Linked DNA regions of Bombyx mori. The protein of the gene in region 2 binds, or shares a complex with, the protein of the main gene of each other region. Links are inferred from orthologs where the notes say so. Each region holds a gene or a part of one and is shown on either strand. Other genes may lie near its edges.

Evidence for each region.
Region 1: RNA polymerase-associated protein CTR9 homolog (region 2) and RNA polymerase II-associated factor 1 homolog share a complex: the UniProt entries of both Caenorhabditis elegans proteins name them as parts of the PAF1 complex. The link is inferred for Bombyx mori from reciprocal best matches to the Caenorhabditis elegans genes ctr-9 and pafo-1.
Region 3: RNA polymerase-associated protein CTR9 homolog (region 2) and parafibromin share a complex: the UniProt entries of both Caenorhabditis elegans proteins name them as parts of the PAF1 complex. The link is inferred for Bombyx mori from reciprocal best matches to the Caenorhabditis elegans genes ctr-9 and cdc-73.

What each region holds. Positions count from the first base shown.
Region 1 is NC_085120.1:5,060,607-5,063,963, reverse strand, and holds part of RNA polymerase II-associated factor 1 homolog, read right to left. Parts: coding exon 3,275-3,357; intron 2,868-3,274; coding exon 2,685-2,867; intron 2,498-2,684; coding exon 2,427-2,497; intron 1,745-2,426; exon of another isoform or gene 1,327-1,744; coding exon 1,135-1,326; exon of another isoform or gene 1,041-1,134; intron 336-1,040; coding exon 197-335; intron 1-196. UniProt on the Caenorhabditis elegans protein: Component of the PAF1 complex which is a multifunctional complex involved in transcription initiation via genetic interactions with TATA-binding proteins, elongation and transcription-coupled histone modification.
Region 2 is NC_085129.1:3,976,546-3,980,944, reverse strand, and holds the start of RNA polymerase-associated protein CTR9 homolog, read right to left. Parts: upstream 2,900-4,399; 5' UTR 2,692-2,899; coding exon 2,656-2,691; intron 2,576-2,655; coding exon 2,477-2,575; intron 1,639-2,476; coding exon 1,399-1,638; intron 1,325-1,398; coding exon 1,056-1,324; intron 278-1,055; coding exon 82-277; intron 1-81. UniProt on the Caenorhabditis elegans protein: Component of the PAF1 complex which is a multifunctional complex involved in transcription initiation via genetic interactions with TATA-binding proteins, elongation and transcription-coupled histone modification.
Region 3 is NC_085121.1:7,757,441-7,761,893, forward strand, and holds the start of parafibromin, read right to left. Parts: upstream 2,923-4,453; 5' UTR 2,708-2,922; coding exon 2,577-2,707; intron 2,498-2,576; coding exon 2,392-2,497; intron 2,312-2,391; coding exon 2,192-2,311; intron 2,076-2,191; coding exon 1,930-2,075; intron 815-1,929; coding exon 589-814; intron 362-588; coding exon 190-361; intron 1-189. UniProt on the Caenorhabditis elegans protein: Component of the PAF1 complex which is a multifunctional complex involved in transcription initiation via genetic interactions with TATA-binding proteins, elongation and transcription-coupled histone modification.

The DNA.
Region 1 (3,357 bases), on a different chromosome or scaffold from region 2:
AATGCGCCACCCACCTTGAGATATAAGTTCTAAGGTCTCAAGTATAGTTACAAAGGCTGCCCCACTCAAACCGAAAGGCATTACTGCTTCACGACATAAATAGGCAGGGTGGTGGTACCTACCCATGCGGACTCACAAGAGGTCCTACCACCACAAGTGAAGCTAATATAAAGCGTGAAAAAATAATGTCATTTACTTTATCACTAGCTTTAGAAGTAGCACGGGATCCTCTCGAAGCGGAACTGGCGCGAGAACCCGCCCCGCTCTTGGAACTGGCTCTTGAAGACGCCCTCGAGCCAGACTTTGAACGTGACCGAGAACGCTCTGAACCAGATCTGCAAAAAATAATAATAATTGAAGTGATTCGAAGGGAAAGAGCCATTTTACACATCACTCCATCACTGAATCGTTCTACTGACATGAATGAAAAAAAATTTATGAGAAAGATCTCAAAATGGGTGTTCCCAAATGACTTTAACATTGTAAAACAAATATCAAATTCACAAAAATGTATAGAGTAATTGCTTGGAGTAGGGTGTGAGCCCACGTGTGTAGGTTTTCCATGTCTAAGGGCCCCATTAACTACTTAAGCAATGAAAAAAAACCACATGTACTGTATAGGTACTCAAAACTTCATATGATATTTTATGAAAAAAAAAAACCACTACACTGAAATCTAAAATACCGATTACAAAAACAAAAGATCTAATTTACAAAGCCATCTGTTATCTATGGGTGAAACTATTGATAGGCCGGTTTTGCATCAAAATTTATTATATTTTAAATAAATTGCAATACAATATAATTATAGACATGATTATGTTAATTGTGGGTTAGGCCACTTTTGCGCTGACGGCCTCAAATTACTAGTTGCATATCAACGCTTGAAAGGCAAACGTGACTAAGCGACAATAACTGCTTTGTACATAAATGATAGGCAATAACTATATTCGATGAGCAAAAAAAAAATGTATTTCTAGGTCTATTAAAATCATTTCAATCCTACAGCTAGATTCGTTAAAATATAATTTTGTTTTCAGGTATTTCAACTTTAAATTAGTCTACTGTAAAGTTCACGCAATACCGCTTAGTCACGTTTGCCTTTCAAGCGTCGATATATAAAATGTTGTTTACCTCGGTGACCGAGAACGTGCCGATCCTGAACGAGATCTCGAGTTCCTAGAGCCGGAAGCGGACCGAGAACGACTCCTTGACCTCGAACGCGACTTCGACTTCTCGCGTGACGGCGACCTGGACCTTCCCGAGCCTTTGGACTTCTCGGAGCCACGAGGAGACTTCGAACCCGATTTTGATCGCGAACGAGACCTATTGATGTGAAATTAACACGTTGACTGCCATGTAGGTCACCGGTGCCCTGCGTGGCGCACTCAAGTAATTATGTCGATTTCTCTCTTTTCGATCTTCTTACTAAGGCACTGAAACATCTCGTAGTCGCTGGGAAAGAATTCGAAGATACTGAGAATGAATATATTTCTAAAATACTAAAACATATTATTATTATATTAAAAACAAAAGAAGGCAAGATTAAGCAATCCTAGCGCTTAGTAATAGAGATCGACATAATTACCTCAGTGCGCCGCGTAGGGCACCAGTGACCTACATGGCGGTCAACGTGTTAACTTAGAATTTAAACAGGCTATGCTATCTTATGGTGTATGTGTAATTAAATCACATTTTTAATAATAGAAATTCTAATAAAAACACTGCTTTTAAGAATGGGTAATTCAGATTGGTTTAATCTATACTAATATATGAGTCGACTATTATCAAAGCCGGCAATGTAACTTTTGGACAATTATTGGTAAATCAGAAAAACGAATTATTGACTTTGTATTCCATTGGCAGTCACAAAACTCTTCTGAACGACATCTTAGATAAATAACAGGTTAACTATTAACCTTTATTTAATGCAGGTTTTGAACCGTATTCTTTGAAGGAGACGATTATATTCAAATCAATCTGTATTGACATATCAATAACATTTTTTTGTCCAAATGCACAGATTGCCACCTTTGATAATAGATGACTGATATGAACCATGCATCCGATTGACTTGAAACTTGGTATCCATGTAGAAAATACATGTCATTGTACTTAATGGATAGGCCAATATCTATATAAGCGTTGGACTCCTTACACCAGTTGCGGGGGCGATGAGAATCTTTGTGGGGGTGAGAAATAATAATGTTAATTTCAAATGCCCAGCAAAGCAGAAGGGTAGAAGCTAGTATTGTATAAGAGATTCAAGTATCAGTTTTATTACAAGACAGTTGACCCGTTATTCAAACTGGTATTTATGACTTGAGTTCGTGAAATAGGCAGAATGGTTGCAGGTACTCAGACAGGCTTGTTCATCATTATCATCATATTTATAAGAACAAACTGTAACTGTTTCAAATGATTACCTTTCCTTCTCGCCGCTCTGTTCCTGCTTTTCTTCTTCATCTTCTTCTTCCTCCTCCTCCTCGTCTTCATCCTATTATAAACAAATTTTATACAAGTGACAGATAACTTTTCGAATAATTTAATTGAGATTTATCATTAAATAGCTGCAACTTCGCTCACATGGTGCGAATAAGTGCCAGTGTAGCTTTCTGTGGGTATGAATTAATATTTTTAAGCTAGTATGTATAAGCATGTTAGTATGTTTATAGGTGTCTTACTTGTGGAGGCTCAAGTTGCTTCTCTCTAAGTCTCAGCATACGATGTTCGGTGCTACTGAGAGGACGATGCGTGACCACCAGCCTAGTCGGGGCTTGTGCAGCTGCTCCAGCGCGGGCTCGACGTTTCGACAGACGAACTCTCGTTTCCAATTCATTGTAGTAAACACAGTGATTACGCACCACCTGTTGCATAACATAGGTATAGAAACACGTATGAAATGTTATTTTGAAATAAATATAATCTCAATGCACCAATCTATGTGACTGTGGTCTCAAATAAATTAAAATTGAATTTCTTTGAATTCAATGGGTGGACGAGCTCACAGCCCACCTGGTGTTAAATGGTTACTGGAGCCCATACACATCTACGACGGCAATGCGCCGCCCACCTTGAGATATAAGTTCTAAGGCTCAAGTATAGTTACAACGGCTGCCCCACCCTTCAAACCGAAAAGCATAACTGCTTCATGCAGAAATAGGCCGGGTGATGGTGCGCAGACTCACAAGAAGTCCTACCACCAGTAAATTAGTAAACCAGTAATTATCAAGAGACAGCACAAATGCTATCCAAAACCAACACACAGACTCACCAAAAAGTAATTCTCTTCATAGCCTTTAGAGGCTTTGCTTTTAACATTCCAGTTGTATTCTCTAGCCATTTTATACTCATAGG
Region 2 (4,399 bases):
CATGTCTACTCCAAAAGTATCTTGTTCTTGGGAAACAGACTACTTATACAAATAGTTTATTGCAAACAGCAAACAACCCACCTTTTTGAAAAAAAAATGATTGGCCAAATGATTTAGAACCATAGGATTTTTTGGGTCAATAGCATAGGCTTTAGACAACATAATAACTGCTATTTTGTTTGATTCACTCTCCTGCAGATTTAATTTTAAAATGGAAAGTCCCACTAAAGCACCTACACATTGTGGATCTAATTGTAAAGCTCTTTCAAAGGCCATCCTGCAATAAATATATTTATTATTTCTTCTTCTCAGTCTTTTGCACTCTTGACAGAGTGGTCGTGGTCATCATTTGGGGTGGTGGTGCGCTTTACAAGAGGTCACCATTTCTACAATGCTTTAAAACTATATATATATATATATATATATATGTGTGTGTACTTCTTTTTTTTTGTATGCAATGTAGTACCCCTAGTTTTGTTCATACAATATAATAGAGATTTCAATCTCATGTCTTAAGATATGGGCTCCAGTAAACACTACAACAGATATACTGTATGACTTTTGATCAAAATTACACTTCTTTTTCCTCTTATACCATATATGTCAGGTTGGGACGGCATGACCGCTTATCATGCGGCATTGGGCGTTGATATGTCATGACACAACATAAGTTTACGACATACCGCCTGCTTGGGTTATATGTCCAAATACTCATTGCAATATGCCATAGGGAGGGACTTTTTCTGTTTTTCACTTTGGTATTTCTTTAACTTTTAATGGAAATGATTGGATTTGAAACTTTTGTTTAAAGCTTATTCACAGTTTTCTATTGATATGCAAATATGTCTAAAAGCCCAAGCTGGTGAATTAACATATTTGACATGAATGGGATCACAAGTTACACATAAACAAATACTTCGAAATCTCAAGTGCAAAGGATTAAGTTACTCTGCTATTCAAACTGAAACAGTTTCTTAATAGCAGTAATGGACCAGGACCTCCAGTATCCAAAATCAGAATTTGCAGACAAGCCATAATTATTACGATATAGATACCTGGCTTTCTCCTGATTATTCAGCTTCATAAAACAATGTCCCATACCCAGTCTCAAAGCGGCTGGGCTGTCTGGATTTGTTCTAAGTGCTTTCTTATAAAAAGCAAGTGCCCCTCTGTAATCTTTACGATTGAAAGCTATGCAAGCTTTACCGAGCAATGAAGGCACATTATTTGGGGATTGATTTAGGACAAAGTTGAACTGAGCATCAGCCTGTTCCATTTTGTCACCTTCCAATAAGCAGAAATATGCTCTACCAAGAAGATGGTTCTGGAACATTTCACATTATTAGAAAATAAAGCGACAATTAGCAATGATTAACTGATGCATTATTTTTCACTTGCCTGATCATACATAATAATTTTATCCGCCATAGTGTACAATAATGTTGCCTTTGTAAATAGTTCTTTTTTCTTATCTTTTGACTTCTCTTTGTTAGCTTCTTGCACATAGTATGCGGCCAACATGTCGAGAGCCCGCATCTGATCTCTTTCGAAATCCCGATAGTCAATGTTGGCATCTGTACGTGATGCTTCCAGGATCTTGAGGAAGTCATCGATTTTCTTTTGTTTGTAATATGCGAGCTAAACATAAAAAGTTGAAAACTTTTAACTGGAGCATAAAGTCAGTCACACTTAAGATGCAGAGCAACTGTTTCTTATTATATAACAGGTTAATAATAAATATGAATGTCCCGAAACTCAAATTGTACAAATTCCTTTTTATTATTTATTTTATTAATTTCAACCACAACAAACTACATTAGATCATATCAAATTCCACCTGATGTATGTATACAAATACATATCGAAGAAATTATATTGTGTAATAAAATTATTAATATGATAACCATAATTTTTATGAATTTGCATATTTATTCATATATTCATAGGGTGCATTGTCTACCCATAAGATACCACAAAGCTGCCTATTCCCATGACGTAGTCATACTTTCAAATTTTTTGTGACATTTACACTGCTGACACACATGTCAGCATGTTGGCAGTGTTTGCTTCATAATATCTAACACCCCCATTACGATAATTGTAGGCAATAAAAATAATGAAAATGTGTACTCCGAATTATGTATCATAAGTGTGAAATTATTTTATGATTGTATATTTAACATATTTTGATGTAAGTCTAAAAGAACGAAGAAAATTGCAGTTAATGTTTATATTTAAAACTGACATTATAAGTTTAAGGTAAAGTAATTTGTGAAAGTTCTTTGTAAACATATTTACTCAACTAATTGTTAAATGATCATTTACAGTTGAAAAACCTTTTTTAATTAAAGATTTTCTTGCATTTTATATTAGTTCATGTATTTGCAACGTTGTGATTGGTATAAAGTTTTAATTTTTTTCGTCTGCTATGATTATTTTCCCATAATAGAATAATATCGAGGTTAGGTTAACTCACTGCAACATTAATCCAAACATTGAGTTGTGAGCGTTCTTGTTGTAAAATACTGAGCACCTCATCGCCGGAAGGTAATTGTTCTGGATCCAGGTCAATCACCTAAAGAAATCAAATATTAATATAAAAATGTTACACGAACACTTTTTAAACGCCAAACTGAATTAGAGTTTTTATTTCACCTCGTCGGTGCTCATTAAAGGTATTTCCAGCGACATCTTGATTTTTTTATTTTTAATTACTTCATTATACAAAATTCACTAGTTTGCTAACTAAAATTTACCAAAACGTATATTTATCGCGTTTTTTGTGTATGTACAACATACTAAAAATTTTTTTTTTTTTTTGGAGTTTGTGGCCTGGTTTCTAGACCTTTAGGCCAACATATTACAACATAATCCTGTTGAGCACAGATTAGTATAATCATAGAACATATATCATTTTACTCTAAAGATATATATCACTCATCTAGCTCACTAGCCCATTTAGATCACTAGCTCAGTGATCCAATTCAATTGATTGGTCTGTCAATTAATTTATTTTTTCATCTTGATCATTTAGCTCAGTATACATATATCACTCACTTTAAATCTCTCTCACTTACACAAACCTGTCTTTAACTTTTATATTAGCCTAAGCTAGTTCTCGGAAGATCTTTTTTTTCAGTTTTATTAGTTTGTACATTAGACATTGTTCACGCATCTGCAATGCTGAGGATCTCGATCCGTGAAATTATCGTATCTGTATTTTGTCATTAGTATTATTATATTGGTATTATTGTATAAATTTTCGCGACCAATTATAATCGAGCTGTGTGTGACGCTATCACGCTAGGAACGTGTGCGGTTGCTATTGGATAAAAATATTGTTCCCTGACCCCATCATCATATAAAACTGTAAAATTGCTAATTCAGAATACACATGCCAACTGGTATCTCAAAAAATAAACATCTTTTAATTTAACAGAATACAGTCCTCAAGTCCAAAAGAAAATCAAAAGTCAAGTACAGCATATCTATTGGCGCTACACACATTATACATATTAAATTGATTTTCTTTTGATTAACTTTTTTAATTTTTTTTTTATATAGCATCGCATCCGTCGTAATATTAACTTCTCTAATTAATTTTTTTTTTTTTCTCTTATGTTTTAATGTCTCGTAGCGATCTGTTTTTCAGTTAACAATGAGCTATTCCTCTGGCTGAATTTATTCTTAATAGATTTATAAACAGAATCAGATATCCAGTGACACCTTCATCTTTTATTGTTAGATTTAATTTCTGTTGTGTAAGGTAGGTATACTGTGCCTCCTTAATCTAGTAAACTGCACAGCTCCTGTGCCTCCTAGGTCCGACGCCAATTTATTGACGTGTGTCGATAACCTGGCTTGATATTTTTTGCTGTAAGCTACTATTTCCTCTTTCACTGTGGGAATATTTAGGTCCATTTGTATGATCTTGTTGCTTATGTAATGCGGTATTCTTAGCATTGTTCTGAAAGTTTTATTTTGAAACCTTTCCAGGATCTCGACGTTGCTATTGCTGGCAGTTCCCCAAAGCTGTATGCCATATGTCCATATTGGCTTTAAGATGGTTTTGTAAATTAAAATTTTACTTGTTGGCGAAAGCTGGGATTTCCCTCCAGTCAACCAGTACATATTTCTTAGCCTTATGTCTAATTGTTTTCGCTTAGACCAGATGTGCTTTTGCCATGTCAGTCTTCGATCCAGATGTATGCCAAGATATTTTGCATCTTCCGCTTGCGGTATGTTTTCGTTATATAAGCTTACAGGTGGACAGGTTTGTTTCCTGAGGCTGAATGTAACGTGGGATGATTTGCTTTGGTTTACTTTAACGCGCCACATATTAAACCATTTCTGAAGGTCATCTAGATGTGATTGTAAGTTTTCAGAAGCTGTTGTAGGG
Region 3 (4,453 bases), on a different chromosome or scaffold from region 2:
GTGCAGTGATTTGTTTAAGATTATTTTTGTTCTTGATGTCTTACTACACCCTAATTAGTGATCTATCGGAAGCCAAATTTGCAGTTGTTTCAATAACCAATTCAATAAGTTACCATCCATAAAACGCACATGACTACTTCATGCCAGAAAAGACAAAACTAAAATACAGACTCTGTATACTCTACAAACCTTCCTTTTGACGTATAAATCTTTCCTGATCGTATCTGTTATACTGTGTCTGTTGTGCAGGTAATACAGTAGGCTGTTGCAAAATAACAGGTTGTGCTCTCGGAATCCCAGGTCTACCTTCTTCTCTAGCTTTGATGCTCGCCAAATGAGCTAATATGCTTTTAGCAAACATCTACAATATTCAATTTCATTTAATATATTATAATTTTAAAGATAACACCATCAATTATTAAATTGTCTTATAATAGATCTATAATGACGCATGAATGTAATGAAAATTCAAGAGTAATCAATTTGTATTATGCAGACGTATCTAATTACAACACTTCTCACATGTGCTAAGTGGAGAATTTTAAAGATGTATATTTTGTAATTATAAATACTTAGCTGTCTACTTACTTTCCCATTACTTTGTAATACTGTTGTTCTTGTCCGCCACTGCCTTTCTCGGCTGATGATATCTTTAGTAAGATCCACATCATAGTCAAGAATGGCTCTTAAGTCTGAACCGACTACACCCAATGTATCAGAATAGTCATTGCTTTTGATTGTGGTTCTTTTCTTAGCTAATCGTTTTGCTTTGATTGCTGCAATTTTTTCTACAGACATAGCTTCAGAAAGGGATCTAAAAATTGGAAACAATTACTCAATTAGAAGAGAAAACACTTATAATTTATTTATTTTCTGTACATATTGATATTTATACATATGTTTACACCTATTTAGATATCGAATATTTGATGTGGTGACTGTGTGGTGTGGATCATCTTTTAAATCAAAAAGATTAGAGAAGGGGTAATTAAAGATTATTGATATAGAAAAAAAGACAAATACCCAAATTGTTTGCTTAGAACTAAAGATTTTTTTTAAATTCATTTTCTAAATTTCATCGAGAGCCACAAGGTACTTTAGACTTGGTCTTCTTAAGTATATTTATGATTAAAGAACTACACGAGTTTTATTGTGATAAAACCTATACATGTACAAATTTTAAGAGATCTTGGAACACTGAATTTGGAGTACTTCATGATGAATGATGATATACAGTTCTTAGATATAATTCACAAAGTCTAGGTGAATTTATGTTATCACACTACATTTTGTTAATAATAAAAAATGCCTAGAGGCAATGACAATGACCCATAAAATTGCAAGAAAACGACCATAGTTCCTGTTCTGTTAAGGCAAATAGACTACACACTACTTGGACCTTTGGCCACCTTCCGTGAACAACAAATGTAATTTTTCAACATACAGAAGACTGATAAAAACAATTAAAACAACCTGAAGTAAACCTATTATTTTTTTGTCGATTATTTTAGCTGAATGCAACAAAATCACCAAAATGGTTCAGTGGCCACTGGCCACAAATAAAACTAGTTTTTACTGATAACTGACCTCATAGCATCTTATTAATTATTAAGATATTTATGTTATTCTTTCATGCTTCATACTGTTTGCAAACTAATGGCATAATTAATTCCATTAAAGCTTCTGGCCCCTAATTTTATAGTCTAAATTCGTAGTACAATATGATTGGACAAATTATGTATACATATTTGATTTGTCTTTATTGTTAAAGCTCATTTCCATTAAAGTAATAGGAATTGCACATTTTTGCACATGATGAAACTACTAACTCATTGAGAATGTACACCTGATATATTTTGTATAATAGTAGGTTCAGCTAAGTGATATAAAATTAAAAAAATTAATATTATTATAAATTGGATGAATTACTTGATATTGTCCACTGTGACTGAAGCTTCCTTAGGGGCATCAAGCCTGGCTGCCAGTTGTTCTCGGACCTTCTGAACATGAGTTTCCTCAATTCGAGGTTTTTTTGCAGCAGATTCTCCTCCATCATTATCAAGTGTGCGTTTCACCTATGTAGTAGTTTAATCACTTAATAACTTCAATCAATAAATGGGAATAAAATTCACATTAATTGGTCCTACAGTCTAGTCTAGTGAAAGTGTTATTTATAAACTTTCTTACTCACTTGAGTCGGAATTTCAAGGGGTGCACTTTTATCAATAGAGGCACAAGTAGCAGTCTCTCCATTTAGATATGCTAATAGCTCTTTACGATCTGGACGACGCACAGGTGGTATATTTGCAGCCTAAAATTTTTTTGAGATCAATAATGTGTTATGTGGAACATCAACCATACATGTTTTATTTATAACTAAACTTCACTTACAGCAGCCTGCCTGACATATACTGGATGAGTCAGGTGAATGTTCTTGAGAATAAAAAGAAGGCATTCCAAGGTGTAATACTCTTTAACGCTGCCTTCCTTTCCAGATCTAAAAAATTGCATAAATGGGTACAATAAGGCTCAACATTTTCAAAGTTTATTTTCCAATAATAACACAAAGTACTTACCTCCAAATAAGATAGTTTGTCTTAACATTTTTTGGCCAAGAGAATTCACCGAATATTATTTGGTTATCGCGTTCAATTATTTCTCTTTTATTTACGTTATACTGACGAAGTAAACTGAGTGGGTCCGCCATGATAACTTCACACTCAACTTTATGTTTATTTTCTCTCGGACTAGTCAAGTAAAAATAATGACACCAATTCTATTAAATATACTGTAAGTAACTTTACACCCCGGCCTAAAAAACTAACCGGGATAAACAGAAAACGAAACACATTGAACATCCATGGTGAACATTTCTAAAATAGTAGTTCCATTTTTCTAGCTGAAAAGGCGTAGGTATCAAACCATACAGCCTTATCTTTCGTATGTGTCTTTTTAAAAATTATTTGGAAGGAAATGAAATGAAGTTGATTAATTTGAGCCATTAATAATTTGGAATGAAATCAAATGAAATGAAATTATATAAGGCCAAAATATAGTGTCAGTAAAACAGTGGTCATTTACTAAGAATTTTTCAATGGAATTATTGAAAGAACTCGAGAAGCTACGACAAGCTGCTTCGTTTCATTATTTTACATCTATGCACTTTCACAGATGCTAAACAGTTAATAAACCACCGTTATTACACATTTAAACCAGAAGTACGCTTCACGTGTTCCCGCCAATGTCCAAATTTTAGCTTACCCACTTAGGTGGGTGAACGAGCTTAAGGCGCACCTGAAGTTAAGTGGTCACTGGACTCCATAGATATCTATAACGTAAACGCTGCCACCTACCTTGAGATATGAGTTCTTAGGTCTTAGTTTTTACAGTGCAACGGTTGCTCTATCCTTCAAACCGAAACGCATTACTGCTTCACGCCAAAAATAGGGATTTTTTTATAGGCAATTTATAGGCAAATAATAGTTTTTTTTTAAGTTTCGTGTGGACTCACAAGATTTCCTACCACTAGTAATTACGCATTTGTTATGTAATTATTTCATTAGAAAAATTGGTGCCTGGTGCCTGCAGGATTCGAACACCGGTGCATCGCAAGACACGAATGCATATCCTTTCGGCCACGACTATGGAGGGTAGAAGTAAGGAGTGCCATCTCAATATGTGAAAATGTGTCAGCTGAAAGGGAATGAATTATGGTAGCGCCATACTAGCAACTGGAAATATTTTAAAACAGTGCCACAAACCTATCATTGTATTAAAATACTATAATAGTATAATTTACTTTGAAGTCATCGACGTGGTGGCCTAACGGATAAGACGTCCGGTGCGTTCGTGTTGAGTGATACACCGGTGTTCGAATCTCAGGTGGGTACCAATTTTTCTTATGAAATACGTACTCAACAAATGTTCACGATTGACTTTCACGGTGAAGGAATAACATAGTGTAATAAAAATCAAACCCGCAAAATTATAAATTTGCGTAATTACTGGTGGTAGGTACTTACTCTCTAGGTGGTAATTACTCTTGTGAGTCCGCACGGGTGGGTACCACCACCCCGCTTATTTCTGCCGTGAAGCAGTAATGCGTTTCGGTCTGAAGGGTGGGGCAGCCGTTGTAACTATACTTGAGACCTTAGAACTTATATCTCAAGGTGGGTGGCACATTTACGCTGTGGATGTCTATGGGCTCCAGTAACCACTTAACACCAGGTGGGCTGTGAGCTCGTCCACCAAACTAAGCCATTAAAAATTAAAAAAAAAAATACTAAATTAAGAAGGAAGGAATCACTTCCTATGTAAATAGTAGTAACAATAAATAGTATTTAGTTGAGGTTTTGTATAATGCATAATAATATTTTTAATTACACAAGTCACGAAAAATATTACAATTTTTAACCCAGCACACTCTGTTTAAAACTACTAATTCATGTCATTT